Drosophila melanogaster: one gene and its partners. The protein of the gene in region 4 interacts with the protein of the main gene of each other region in a pairwise test. Each region holds a gene or a part of one and is shown on either strand. Other genes may lie near its edges.

Region 1 (3,217 bases), on a different chromosome or scaffold from region 4:
TGACCTCTAAGCCAACACACACGCAACTTGCAATCAAAGTGATAAACAATGTGCCGCGAGCTGGCCACATAGACCTCGAAGGGTCAGGGGGGTATCAGGGCTAAGGGGGTGCGAACTGCGTAAACAAAGCTCAAGGATTGCGTCCTGGAACGTGGCGAAGTGTCGATGAACCAAAGTGGGCGCACAAACAGGCCAGAGTTGGGCACACCCTTGGAGGGCACTCTGTCATATGGGAGCTGTCTAATGAAAATGGTGGCCTGATTTAACCTTAAACGAATTCATTCTTCTCATCATATAATAGTTTAAAGTGCTCTGGTGACCATTGCAAATGTTAAAAATTAAAGCTTGCAGCACTCGTTAATAATTCAAATGAAATCCCTTATCTTGAACTTATAATTCTATGTAATACCACAAACTAAAGCTATATATATATACTTCCCATCCAGGTATCTATTGCAATAAGACGGCGCTTCCCAAGAGCAACCTGCACTATCTGTTTCCTTTGAAGAAAAGTCCCGATGCCCACGGCAAGATTAAAATTAAACGGAAGGAATAAAACTCGATTCACTTCTCAGTCGGTCAGTGCGTGGGCCTGATGCATTGCGTTTTAATTTCTGTTTGCCTGCGAGCATGTATCTCCATCTCTGTTTGTATCTGTATCTTTCGCCGTGGCAGTGACGACGTCCGGTGGACACGTGCGGCAGCCTTGCGGAATCCCTTTGCCATCCTGGGACATCTTACTTCTTGAGGATGGTGGCCACAGGGGCGGCGGCATAAACGGCTGGCAGGGCGGCGCTGTGGGCCACACTGTGGGCACTGTAGCTACTGGCATAGGGGGCCACGTAGGGGGCGTAGGCAGGGGTGTAGGCGGCGGTGTAGGCGAGGGGTGCGGCAGCGGGCAGGGAGCTGTACGCCAGTGGAGTGGAGTAGGCCAGAGGGGCATTGTAGGCCAGCAGACCAGGATTGGCAGCAGCGGCGGCGAACAGGGCGCACAGGACAACGGCAAACTGCAGGATAAAATGCATACAAAAAGTACATTAAAATACACATTTACAAGAAGTTTTATAAATATAAAAAATTGTTTGAAAAATCTACACTGTTTGATAATAGTTTTATTTCGAACACACGCGTTTTTGTTTGTATTTAGGATTGTGAATTGTTGCATTTTTGAAACATTGTATCCTTAAAAAAATGTTGGAAACTTACGAATTTCATCATTTTAATTGATTTGGTTGTGTTAGCGTCGAAGTTAGACTTCTGATTGATGTCTTGTGCTGAGTTCGAAGTGGTTTATATAGGTAAATATACATAGCATCCTTGACAAAGCCCATTGAAAAAGCAAAAACCCAGCAAGTTTAAAGCATTTCCATCACGTACCAGGGCTAAAACAGGGCCAAACATTTGGTCTCTTTTTACTGGCACAATTATAATGTTGCAGATTTGTGTTTGTCGATATGCCTGCGAATAGTACGCATTCCTTGTGAATTTATTATTGAAAATGAATGTTTTTTCCCGCTCATCTTGAGCATTTCCGCAACTGGCGTCAGCAGCTGTCGTTTGCCGATTGAATTATCATAATTTAGCACTCAGTGCGTTTTGTGGGCTGTGAACGTGCGTGTCATTCCAACCGTCTTGGCCATCTCCGGAGTTCGGCTCACTCTGTACGTTTCAATTGTCAGCCACTCGAACACGCCACTTTGCATTCTAATCAGAGATGCAAGTAAAAATAGAAGCGGTTTATCCAGTTTCGAAGGACGTCATCGAGTTGAGCCCTTGGCTTAAGGTTGAGGACACCAGAAACAGGGAATCGAAAGCTTTGCATAAATGGAATCGCGAGTTCAATAAACCGGAGGTCTCGTTGACCCTATTAATCCAATGCAAACATGGACATTCCACCACGAAGAACACAACCTCCTTTACACTTCCTTTTTTTTTAACAAATAATAGGTTTTAAGTCCAAAAAATAATTTCCAATGTATCAAAGCAATTTATTGATACAAAGCTTAAAAAAGTCATTGATTCCTTCCAGCCCACCAAAATTAAAAAATGTAGGGGCTAGCAATTTATGAAACTAGTGTGAGAAATATTTACTGAAAATATGATATCACCTACTTTATAAATAATATTTCCATTGGATTTTAATGTATACCAAATTTAGTACTTAGTACCCATTGCAAAAGAGTACTGCCTAAAAGTATGTGATTATACATACTCCCTTCACATTAGAGATGAATAAGTGATGCAATAAATTATGAACAAGTGGTATACGTTTTACGCAAAATGCAGTATTTATTTCAACAAAAATATTCCCTTTCTTGAAGTGGTATGTCCTGTTCCCATGACTTAACTTTCAGCAGTCGGCAGAGGTGGGGAAATGTAGAGTCTGTCGAACTAACACCAGGGATGTAAGAAGATTGGATGTTGCAGGTGGTTAGCAGGAAGGTGTGTATCCTTGTTGCAATAGATGTGTATATGTTTATATTCAGGTCCAGTTCAGCAGTCAGGTTAAGATCACGATCCATTCATCCAGTCTTAACGGTAGTAGGCGGCATAGGGGTAGGCGGAGTAGGCGGACGCATAGGGGTACGTGTAGGCGGAGTAGGCGGCGGCCACTGGAGCGGTGTATGCCGCGGTGTAGGCAGCCGAGTAAGGAGCAGCTGCCACATAGGGAGCGGAGTAGGCGCTGTAGGCCAGAGGAGAAGCGAGCACCGCCGGCTTGGCAGAGACGCAGGCCACGATGGCGAACAGGCACAGAGCGAACTGAAAGGATAGGAAAAGTGCTTATGAGTAATCCGTTGTTTGGTGGCAAGTCCAGCTATCCTGCGATCCTTACGTATTTGAACATGTTGGCTGTTTGGGTTGGTTGTGAACTGTTGGTTCTCAAGTACTAGACTGATATCTCCTAGTGCCCGAGTACTCGGGTATATATAGCAGAATCGGTCGAGAAAATTCCATTCCAATTCCCCACATTGAAGCGAAGGTGATGCGTGGCCATTGGTATGCACATCCATTCCCAGATCGGTTCCAAGTCCATTTTGAAGCCAGCCAAGGAGAATCTTGAGCATTATGGCTTTGCACTTTTGGTTTCGTTTGGTATTTTTAAAAGCGTGACGAAAAGCGAAAAACAAATCGAATGTGAGTCCGTGTTTTGCATACTAAAACGTAGCTGGATATTGATCCATCCATCGGCAAGTCTGGAAATGACCCACAAAAACTG
Region 2 (2,874 bases), on a different chromosome or scaffold from region 4:
AATGTTGTTATGTTCAGTACACGCATATATTATGTAATCTAATTTAATGCAAAATGCAAACAATTTTGTAAAATAGTACATATAATTCTGTAAAAACTTCATCTACACATGCACGCACTTTCGGCAGACAACCTAAATTATTTCTTGAGCCACAAATCAATCGAAAGGAAATTTAATAATAATCCCACTTTCCAATGTGATAAACATATATAATTTGTACACTCTACTTAACAAATATTTATCGTTTCCTGTTGGGAAAATGCTAGAAAGGTGGAGAATCGATAATATACTTACCTTGCCGCACTTTGCCTGCAGAAAACTCAAATTATTCACTTCATTATTGTAATAAACTTGTTAGAAGCCTAAATTCTAAAAAAAAAAAAAAATCCATCACTCTACGTTTACCTAGCCTAATGCTCTTTTCATGCAGCAACAAAATGTAATAGCTAAGTTTTAGTTGTAGTTAACTGAACATCGTATAATAGATGAAACTGTAAATTTATCACACACACAAAAGAAACAAAAGCTAAGTTAAACAATAAATATACAAAAAAAGATTTGAATGTACGAAATGGTGTATTTCTGTGCTTCTATGCGAACTGTCATACCAAAGTGCCTGAAAGTATGCTATTAAATGTGACCAAGTATTACAATTGAGTACAAAGAAGTCCACAAGTTAAAAGCATAGGTGATAAAATATATTTGCAGCAAGTACAGTTCCTAATCACTATCTTAGAAAGTGACACAGCGCATTACCAAAGTTCCAATCACCGAAAAGTAGAAAACCTATTCAATACGAATGAAGAATGAAGGTAGGGCAATCTCCTGGCAAGTCCAGCATGTGGCCGGAAATTAGCCTAAGGGGCCTTTGTGCCGGCGGGCATTAGGTAGCGATTATAGGTGGCCAGGTTCTTGACCAAGGCGGCCACGGATAGCATGCACACCATTCCGGCGGGCATCAGTTTTCCGGATCGGTTCCAGCGGGCGCCCATCAGCCCGGCCAGGAACAGGGAGGTGCCCAACTGGAGCAGGGGACGAGGCGTGTCCTGGGAGTTGAGGTGGGCGCCATAGCCGAGCAGGGCTCCGAAGGCCAGACCAGCACCCAGCGAGGGAATGGAACCTGGAATGCAGGGCGTTGCACAATCGGACATGACCACGGTCAGGGGGCTGGTCACTTACCCGCCTTGGCGTATCCCATGATTCCTCCGGCGGCGACCGTGGCTGCGTACACATATCCGAACCAATCCACCGGCATTTCGATTTATTTTGATTAAATTTCGGGGTAACCTTTGTTTTGGTGAGAAGTGGAGGTGTTAGTATGACCCTTCCTGCCTTAGTAGAAAGAAGATCCGCTCCGCAGTGCACGAAATTCAGACATCTGGCAGCACCGTTTCGCGGTCATTTTGAATTAAATATGTGCAACGAACTTCCTAATCAGAATATTTATTTCAATGTTTAGAACGCTTCTATTCGAAATATTCATTGCAATGTTTAGAAAGTTTGTTGGGCAAATATAAGTTAGTTTACTAATGTATGCATTACAAAAAGAGCGATGGTTCCTCTAATTTAAAAAGCCATTCAATACATTTATGTTTTTTTTAGATTTATTGCATTTCTGTCTGGAATTTTATTTCAAATTCGTAGCCAACATGTTCGTGAATTTTACAATAGACGACGGTGACGGTGTACACGGCGAACCACTCGCCCCTGACCACCACCTCCATTCTGATTACTCTGGTTGGCCTGACGCCTCTCGCGGCGGAGCTGACGCCTCAGCCGGCGCAGCCGACGCCTGAGCCTAATCACTTCCTGGCTGCTGCTGGATCCACTGTCACTGGGCGATGTGGGCGTAGCTGGTGATGTCGAGGAAGCGGGCGCATCAGGAGTAGCTGGCGAGGACGGTGTTCCAGTCGCTGGAGTTGGCGAGGTCGGTGTACCAGCAGCTGGGGATGCTGAAGGTGGTGTTCCAGTCGCTGGGGATGGTGAGGGCGGTGTTCCAGTCGCTGGAGGTGGCGAGGTTGGGGTTCCAGCCGGTGGAGATGACGCGGGTGGGGATCCTGCCGCAGGTGGAGAATCGGCGTAGGCAGTTGCTATTAGGGCCAAAAGCCCAAAGGCGATAACGAATTGGCAACGCATCTTCAGCTCAGTTTGTCACTAAATGGAGTACTGTGTGGATAGTGGTTTAAATCCGAGTATTTATAGGGATGATCCACTTGATTCGCTTTAATTGTCGAATCTGTGTTTGCTTTGAATGTTTTAGAGTACATTTTACGTTCTCGTCAAGACAAATAGATTAAACTCAATAAAAAGACGAGACTATCTTCTCTGTAAGCGCGAAAGCTGTTGATGGCTGTGGAAAGTTCTAATTCGTTAGTAATTAAACAAAACGGTTTTTTTTTGGATTGGCTGGCTGAACGTATTGTTAGCATGTGTGCAAACACGGTACATTGTTTATTAAATAGATGAATATGTATTGTTAAGCCTTTTGAACAGAAAGCCATATTTAAATAACCTCTAAGCTTAAATAAAGATTAAGATGGCATATTGTACATAAAGAATGAATTCTCACTAAAAGAAAACTTAGAACAAACTCCTATTTTTCACTTTCATTTGCAAGTTCCTAATCGATTAAGTTATCATCTGGAATTATGTCTGCACTTAGACCAGTTCCACTTGATCAACTAACTAGATCGGAAAATGATTTACTTAGGATTCTTCATTAGAGTATATAGTGTAGCCTTCTTCTTCTTTTCCAAGATGAAACCGAATATTGAATTTCTTTGTTTGACTAACAATTCGATCCAAATGATTTCACTTGTTTTTAAGGTGCCAAGTTACCAAGTCATAACTACGATTGTTGCTTTTGTGTATGCA
Region 3 (3,145 bases), 4.0 Mb from region 4:
ATATGTCCACGGCTGGATGTCCGGTGGACAGGAGCTTTGCCCGCGACATTTTCCTCAAGACTGTGATAGCGGTGGCCGAGGAAGAGCATTACTTTTACCTGTACAGGATTAGCTACATGTGGTACGCTGCTTTGGGCTTCCTGATAACCTTCTTTGGCGGATGGCTGTTGTCCTGGCTGTTTGCCCTGCTGAAATGGGACAACAATCGACGCATCTACCAGGATGCGGACTGCACGCTAATCAAGCACGATCTCTTCGTGCCGCCGATAGCCAAACGTTTGCAACGGCGACAAATGCCGCTCCTGGTGGTCACCGGCACCAGTTCGGAGATTGGCGGCATCACGACAGAGAGCGCTACGGCGCCGCCGCGGCTGGACGAGATCGAGTGGGAGAAACACAAGGCAGTGGCGTAACTGAACACATCACCTTAGTAGTTTTTTCTTTTGTTTTTTTTTTGTAGCGCCGTTTTGACCTTAGTTACTCTCCATTAGCTATCACTGCAAGAAATAATAACTTTGCTGTACAATAATACGGTTTAGTTTATTTGCATTTCTATACGAGTCTAAAAATGAGGCAAACTATTATTTGAAAGAATTGCTGCTGGAATTACAATGCTCCTTATAATGTTCTAAAGAAAGTCAGGTCGGAGAATATCATATAGTTGCCATAGTATGTATATCTGCATGGGTCATCCCACTTCGTTCTCCGTGGAGCGTACTACTAGCCTTTTTCTCTTGTCACACAAAATATATATATATATATATATGTATATATATATTAAGTGAACTTTGGCTTTAAATAAACGAGCTTACTCATTAAGCAACTAAATTAACGCTCATCGATGGCCTGATTGGGCTGCTCCTCCGGTCCTTTGGCATTGTAAACATTGCGATTCTGGGACAGATGCCATAGGGCTAGCAGGCGGGCCAGCTCCGTGTAGGTTAGCTTGCGCAGATCACGTCGATCGGCCAGCTTAACTCCGGCGGCCTCTAGCTCCTCCACCAATGTGACGGCATCGTATTCATCCTCCGGATTCTGCTCATTGCGTGGCGCAATTTTTCCGACGAACTCCGACTCTGGCACCGCTTCGCTCTTCACCATGCGCTGCATCTGCTGCACATGCTGCTGTTTATGCTGACGTTGCTGACCCAATGGCTCGTCGACATCTTTTAGCTCCTGTTCGGGATTCATGGGCAGCGAATTGGCCAGGCTGACCATGCCGAGGATCACCAGGAAGATGACCGGAATATTGTTGCACCCAATGGGTTTCATGTTTACGTCCGACTGCTAGTAGCTTTGCTGTGGCACTGCTGCCCGCCTGTCGCATGTCGATCGATCGTGGCCTGGACTCGACTCTCGGGGTGCGCTCCAATTTCTATCTGCCTTCCAACCCGCTCGTACGCTCGCTCGGCTCCCTATCGCTCACTCGAACGCCCCGTGTGGCAGTGCTGGCTGGCGAAGACATTCGCTTTCTTCTTCCAGCATTTGGCTATTATTTTTTTTGGTTACTTTCGAATGCCATGGATTTTGGCAAACAATGGTGCCATTAAACTGCAAGTAAGGCGGGGATATAGATTCTTTTACTTCTAAAACTATATAAATTTGTAATAGATGAGCAGTGAGTGTTTTTAAAATGTATATTTTATTGTATGTTATGCAAAAAATGTTCCATTTAATTCAATACGCTGGAAACGAAGCGCAGCACTGTCGTTTGGGGGGCTGCTTTTGATTGAAAAGTCAGTGTGTAGGGTCGGTTAAATTATTTTATCTGCATATGCAGCACATACACTATACTATACACTATACAACATCGACCCCTGGTACATATGTTATTTAATTGTCTGGCTGGTGCCTTTTGTATTTTGTATTTTGTATGTAGTAGATCCCGCATTTCGTCGTTTTTTATTGTGTATTTTTGTTGGCTACGTTTTTTTTTTATTTTTTCTGTCCGCCTCCAATTCAATTTATCTGCGCAGTTTGTGCTCACTCGGTTCGCCGTCTTCTATTTTCTGCATGTTGGTTTGGCCTAATCTTATCAGCTCTTATTCATAGCCAATTGAACGAGTTGTAATGGTCGAGAGTTTTTAATAATTTCTAGTAGATATGGGTTAATGGACGACGCGCCCCGCGTTAATCAGTCGCAATGTTTCCTTGTGTACCGAACCAATCGGTCAGGCAATCTTAGGTCTAAGAACTTTGTTTGATTGGTCAAAATGTGAATGATATTATTCTACATTTACATGTTCATATTTCACACAAACAATTATTGCTCTATTTGCAACAATTCTAATGGAATACAGTTGAAAAGCAACTAGAGATACCTCGTCTAGAGTTTTAAATTCTTATCGGTAATTGGGCTTATTTAATTACTCACTGCTACAATTACTTTGCCTGCCTTCAGGCGTTGCTAAAAGCTTTTTTTTATAAACAAATTGCAATAGCATAGTCTAACTTGTAGTGCATGCCGAATTAGTGTCAACAAAGAAATTATTGTTAAATATATTGCGCTATTATGTGTTGAATTATAACGATTTGACAAATACACGTAACGACGTTCTTGAGTGACAATGGAAATTGAAAAAAAGTCGAGATTGTCAAGTTGCATGTAACGTGCGACGAAGTAAGTATTGATAAATGTAAATTCTAAATGGAAAATCGCAATTGTCAGTCTTATTTGCATTTTCCTAATGGTTTCACATCTGGCATGCGAGCAACCTACATACATATGTATGTGCTATGCTATATATACATACATATGTATATAAAGTGTTTATAAAATAAATGTACGTGCGAATGGAATGGCCAAAACATTCCACTGACTGATCGTTGTTAGCTTTTATTAGACTGCAAACACGTGCGCCAGCCCGCTTTGGTTAGTTAGTCATTTTTGGTTGAGAATGAAAAGAAGAAAAAAAAAAAACCCAGAACTGTCAGCAGCGTTGATAACCGTGTTGTGGGCCAAACACAACTGACTGACTCACTGTATAGGATAGCTCCATAGCCAGCTATGGGAGGTACCCTATCAAGGGCACCCAATAGCAGCAACCAATCCACTTGACTCTCTTTTGTGTGCATCTCCTGATGTCATCGACCAATAATGCGTTGGATCGTTTCCCTTCTTATCGCTAGCCAGTTGAACTGGCAG
Region 4 (3,180 bases):
CTCGATCCGCATTTCCGTACTATCGATGGCTTCCAATCGCTGGTGCAGAAGGAGTGGGTGGCCCTGGAGCATCCGTTTCAGCGACGCCTGGGTCATGTCTATCCTGCCCAGCCGGCCGGCGGTAATGCCGAACTATTCGACAGCGAACAGAGTCCAGTGTTTCTGCTCTTCCTCGATTGCGTGTGGCAGCTGTTGCAGCAGTTCCCCGACGAGTTCGAGTTCACGCAGACATACCTGACCACGCTGTGGGACTCGTGCTTCATGCCCATCTTCGATACCTTCCAGTTCGATACGCAGGCCCAGCGACTGAAGGCGGTGACCGACTCGCAGCTCGTCCTGCGTCCCGTTTGGGATTGGGGCGAGCAGTTCTCGGACAAGGACAAAATGTTCTTTAGCAATCCGCTGTACCAGCGCCAAAGGGGCGATCTTGGCGCCCAGGCGGCTGCCGTGGCGCATCGCAGATCCCTGGCGGTGGGTAGTAAGGGAGCGCATGGCGCCGCTAGTGGTGTCACACCCTCGCGCAACACCATCAATCCGCAGCTCTTTGCGACCGCTTCGTCAGTGCCGCAGGATCGTTACCTGCAGCCGGCACATCGCATCTTCGATCTGCAGGTGTGGGATCAGTGCTACTACCGCTGGCTGCCCATTTTGGATATACGCGGCGGCGGCCAGCCGCAGGTGGATCTCTATCATCGCCTGCTGCTGAGCAACATAGCAAAGGTACAGCGCTGCCTGGATTATCAAAACTTTGACGATCTACCCGATGCGTATTACGAGTTCGCCGGCGAATCGCGTCCCAATCAGCACAAGGACGAGAAGCCCGACAAGGAGGACGAGGCCGAGTTCGTCGACGGTGTGGAGCGGCGCAGGAAGCCGACGGCGAAGGCCGCCACACCCACTAGCGGACTCACATCGGTTACCGGCAATCTGCAGCTATCGACCCTGTCGTCGTTCTTTCCCTTCGGGAATCCCATCGCCGGAGATGCACCGCTCCAGCTGTACGACATTCTGAGCAGCAGCAGCGAGCTGCTGATGGAGACCTCATCCTTTCTGGACAAGTCGTCCATTGTCTGATCCGCACACAAATCGGAGACACCACCACACACACACTCGTTCCACTTGTTTATTCAAAACGCTGAACTTTCGAAGTATTACACAAAAAACAGAATATAATTTGAGAAGAAGAAGAAAAAACACACACACACACACACACACAGAGGTGCAATTTCCTCACATATACATGGCATATCGCTTTTAACACTTTTGATTATTGTTAACTAATAAGCAAGTTATGGTATAAGTTTTTTTTTATTTCGTTTTACTACCACCAAACTGCATTGCATCGCTGCATTATAAAATTAAACGTAAATAATACGATTAACAAACGTAACGACAAGCAATTGATGTAAAACGAATTCAAAACACAAATCCGCAAAAACGAAAACGTACGAAAACACCAATTAAATCAATATGTATTATATTGTATGTAACTAAATATATGAAAGACTATTGATCGATATGTATATTTAAATAAATCAAATGTGTAAAATCAACAAAATGTGTTCTGATTGCGGCAACTTTTGAGAATTAAACGAATTAGGAACTATGAATATATATGGGTGAGTCAGCAAAAAAAATCGCATTAATATGTAAGCTTATGATTTTAAATTGAAGTGGATAGTTGGATAATTGAAAAGATAAAATAATTGACTAACAGTTTGGCTTTCGAAACGATTTGTGTTTGCTATTCTGAATAATTTTGGGTTCTTAATGTAACTCAATAAAAAGTTTAAGATTTTATAATTTAAAAAAAAGGAGCCATATAAGGGTTAACATAATTACAAGCTTCGATAAATAACTGTTTAATTCCCGATTTTTATTTATGATTTCATTTTATAGTTCGCTTGGACTTTCAGTTATAATCATAGCACATAGAAGTTATAATGAATTTATAAATATGCTATTATTATAATTTATTATTGGCACGAGAAACTAGATTAAACACTCAGCGAAATGGGTAATACAAATACGTTCAAGGACATAAAGGATTACACAATGAAAATCATTATAATTACAGAACGGAATCATGAATCTCAAAATAAGAAGCTATCAACAAGAAATGATAAATATTTGGACTTAAAGCATGAAATAATGGAAGTTAAAGTTGAGAATCTGGCAAACAACCGCATTTTAAAAGCAGAAAAGGATGCAAAGACTGCAGATAAACTCGACAATTCAGAATATTTAAAGATTAATCAGAAAATGCTTCTAAATGAGAACCAAGATATTGAGATGGAAAATCAGGTACCAAAGGATCTGGAAAAGCAAACTGATGAGTATCCCAATGAAGAGCAGTACGTCGGGAATCAGTTGCCACTTAGAAATCCCGCTCAATCGACTCCAACTCGTCCAAGTCGCGTGATTCCACCAATGCCATCGGAGGAAACGATGCGCCACTCCATAGCCGACAACCTGATGGAGATCCTGGTGAATATGACTAATCCGCAGCATCGACAACAGTGCTTTTCCCTCTTGCAGGTGGACGATGCTCTGCAGGCACGCAGTCGAATCCTATGCCTCCTGCAGCAAATCGACGAGAGGCGCAGGACGCGCAACTGAATTCATCCTATAGAATGCTTGCTTACATTATAATGGTACTTTTACAAAGCCTGCTATATCTTAATCACAATCATAAATGAGCGCCTGCGATTATATGCCATTGGCTGCCATTTAAATCACACGGAACAACGCACACCATTGTCGTTATGAGTTAAACATTTAATAATAAAAACGTTGCGTGACTAACAGATTTAGGAAGGGAATTTGATCTTTGGGCGCTCTTTTTGAATCATCACTTAGCCTTGTCGTCCTGCTGCTTAGCCTCCTCCGCTTTCAGCAGCTCCGAAATGATGCCCGCCTTCTTGAGCTCCTCGATGAGATCGCCGCTCTGGTGCATCTGCAGCAGGATGTCGCAACCGCCGACAAATTCGCCATTGATGAACACCTGCGGAATGGTCGGCCAGTCGGTGTAGTCCTTGACACCTGCACGCAAGCAATAAGGTTTAACGCTGGCACGCTAATGCATATGTGGAGCGTACTCACCCTGTCGCAGGGACTCGTTTTGCAGCACATCGTGGGCATCGTACTGGACACCGTGCATCCGCATAATCTGCACCACCG

What was found.
Region 1: the proteins of CG14410 (region 4) and CG13066 interact in a two-hybrid assay, tested with the Drosophila melanogaster proteins (one large-scale study listed by BioGRID).
Region 2: the proteins of CG14410 (region 4) and CG5532 interact in a two-hybrid assay, tested with the Drosophila melanogaster proteins (one large-scale study listed by BioGRID).
Region 3: the proteins of CG14410 (region 4) and CG15209 interact in a two-hybrid assay, tested with the Drosophila melanogaster proteins (one large-scale study listed by BioGRID).

Annotation. Positions count from the first base shown.
Region 1 is NT_037436.4:16,270,968-16,274,184, reverse strand, and holds CG13066 (uncharacterized protein), read right to left. Parts: upstream 1,277-3,217; 5' UTR 1,219-1,276; coding exon 1,207-1,218; intron 1,008-1,206; coding exon 738-1,007; 3' UTR 577-737; downstream 1-576. Other genes in the region: CG13067 (uncharacterized protein), read right to left, coding at 2,533-2,760, 2,834-2,845.
Region 2 is NT_033778.4:23,751,211-23,754,084, reverse strand, and holds CG5532 (uncharacterized protein), read right to left. Parts: upstream 1,332-2,874; 5' UTR 1,256-1,331; coding exon 1,180-1,255; intron 1,121-1,179; coding exon 858-1,120; 3' UTR 570-857; downstream 1-569. Other genes in the region: CG11300 (uncharacterized protein), read right to left, coding at 1,663-2,136.
Region 3 is NC_004354.4:10,840,373-10,843,517, reverse strand, and holds CG15209 (uncharacterized protein), read right to left. Parts: upstream 1,314-3,145; 5' UTR 1,273-1,313; coding exon 829-1,272; 3' UTR 523-828; downstream 1-522. Other genes in the region: CG32669 (uncharacterized protein), read left to right, coding at 1-413.
Region 4 is NC_004354.4:14,834,712-14,837,891, forward strand, and holds CG14410 (uncharacterized protein), read left to right. Parts: upstream 1-2,013; coding exon 2,014-2,619; downstream 2,620-3,180. Other genes in the region: CG14411 (uncharacterized protein), read left to right, coding at 1-1,074; Grx5 (glutaredoxin 5), read right to left, coding at 2,852-3,042, 3,103-3,180.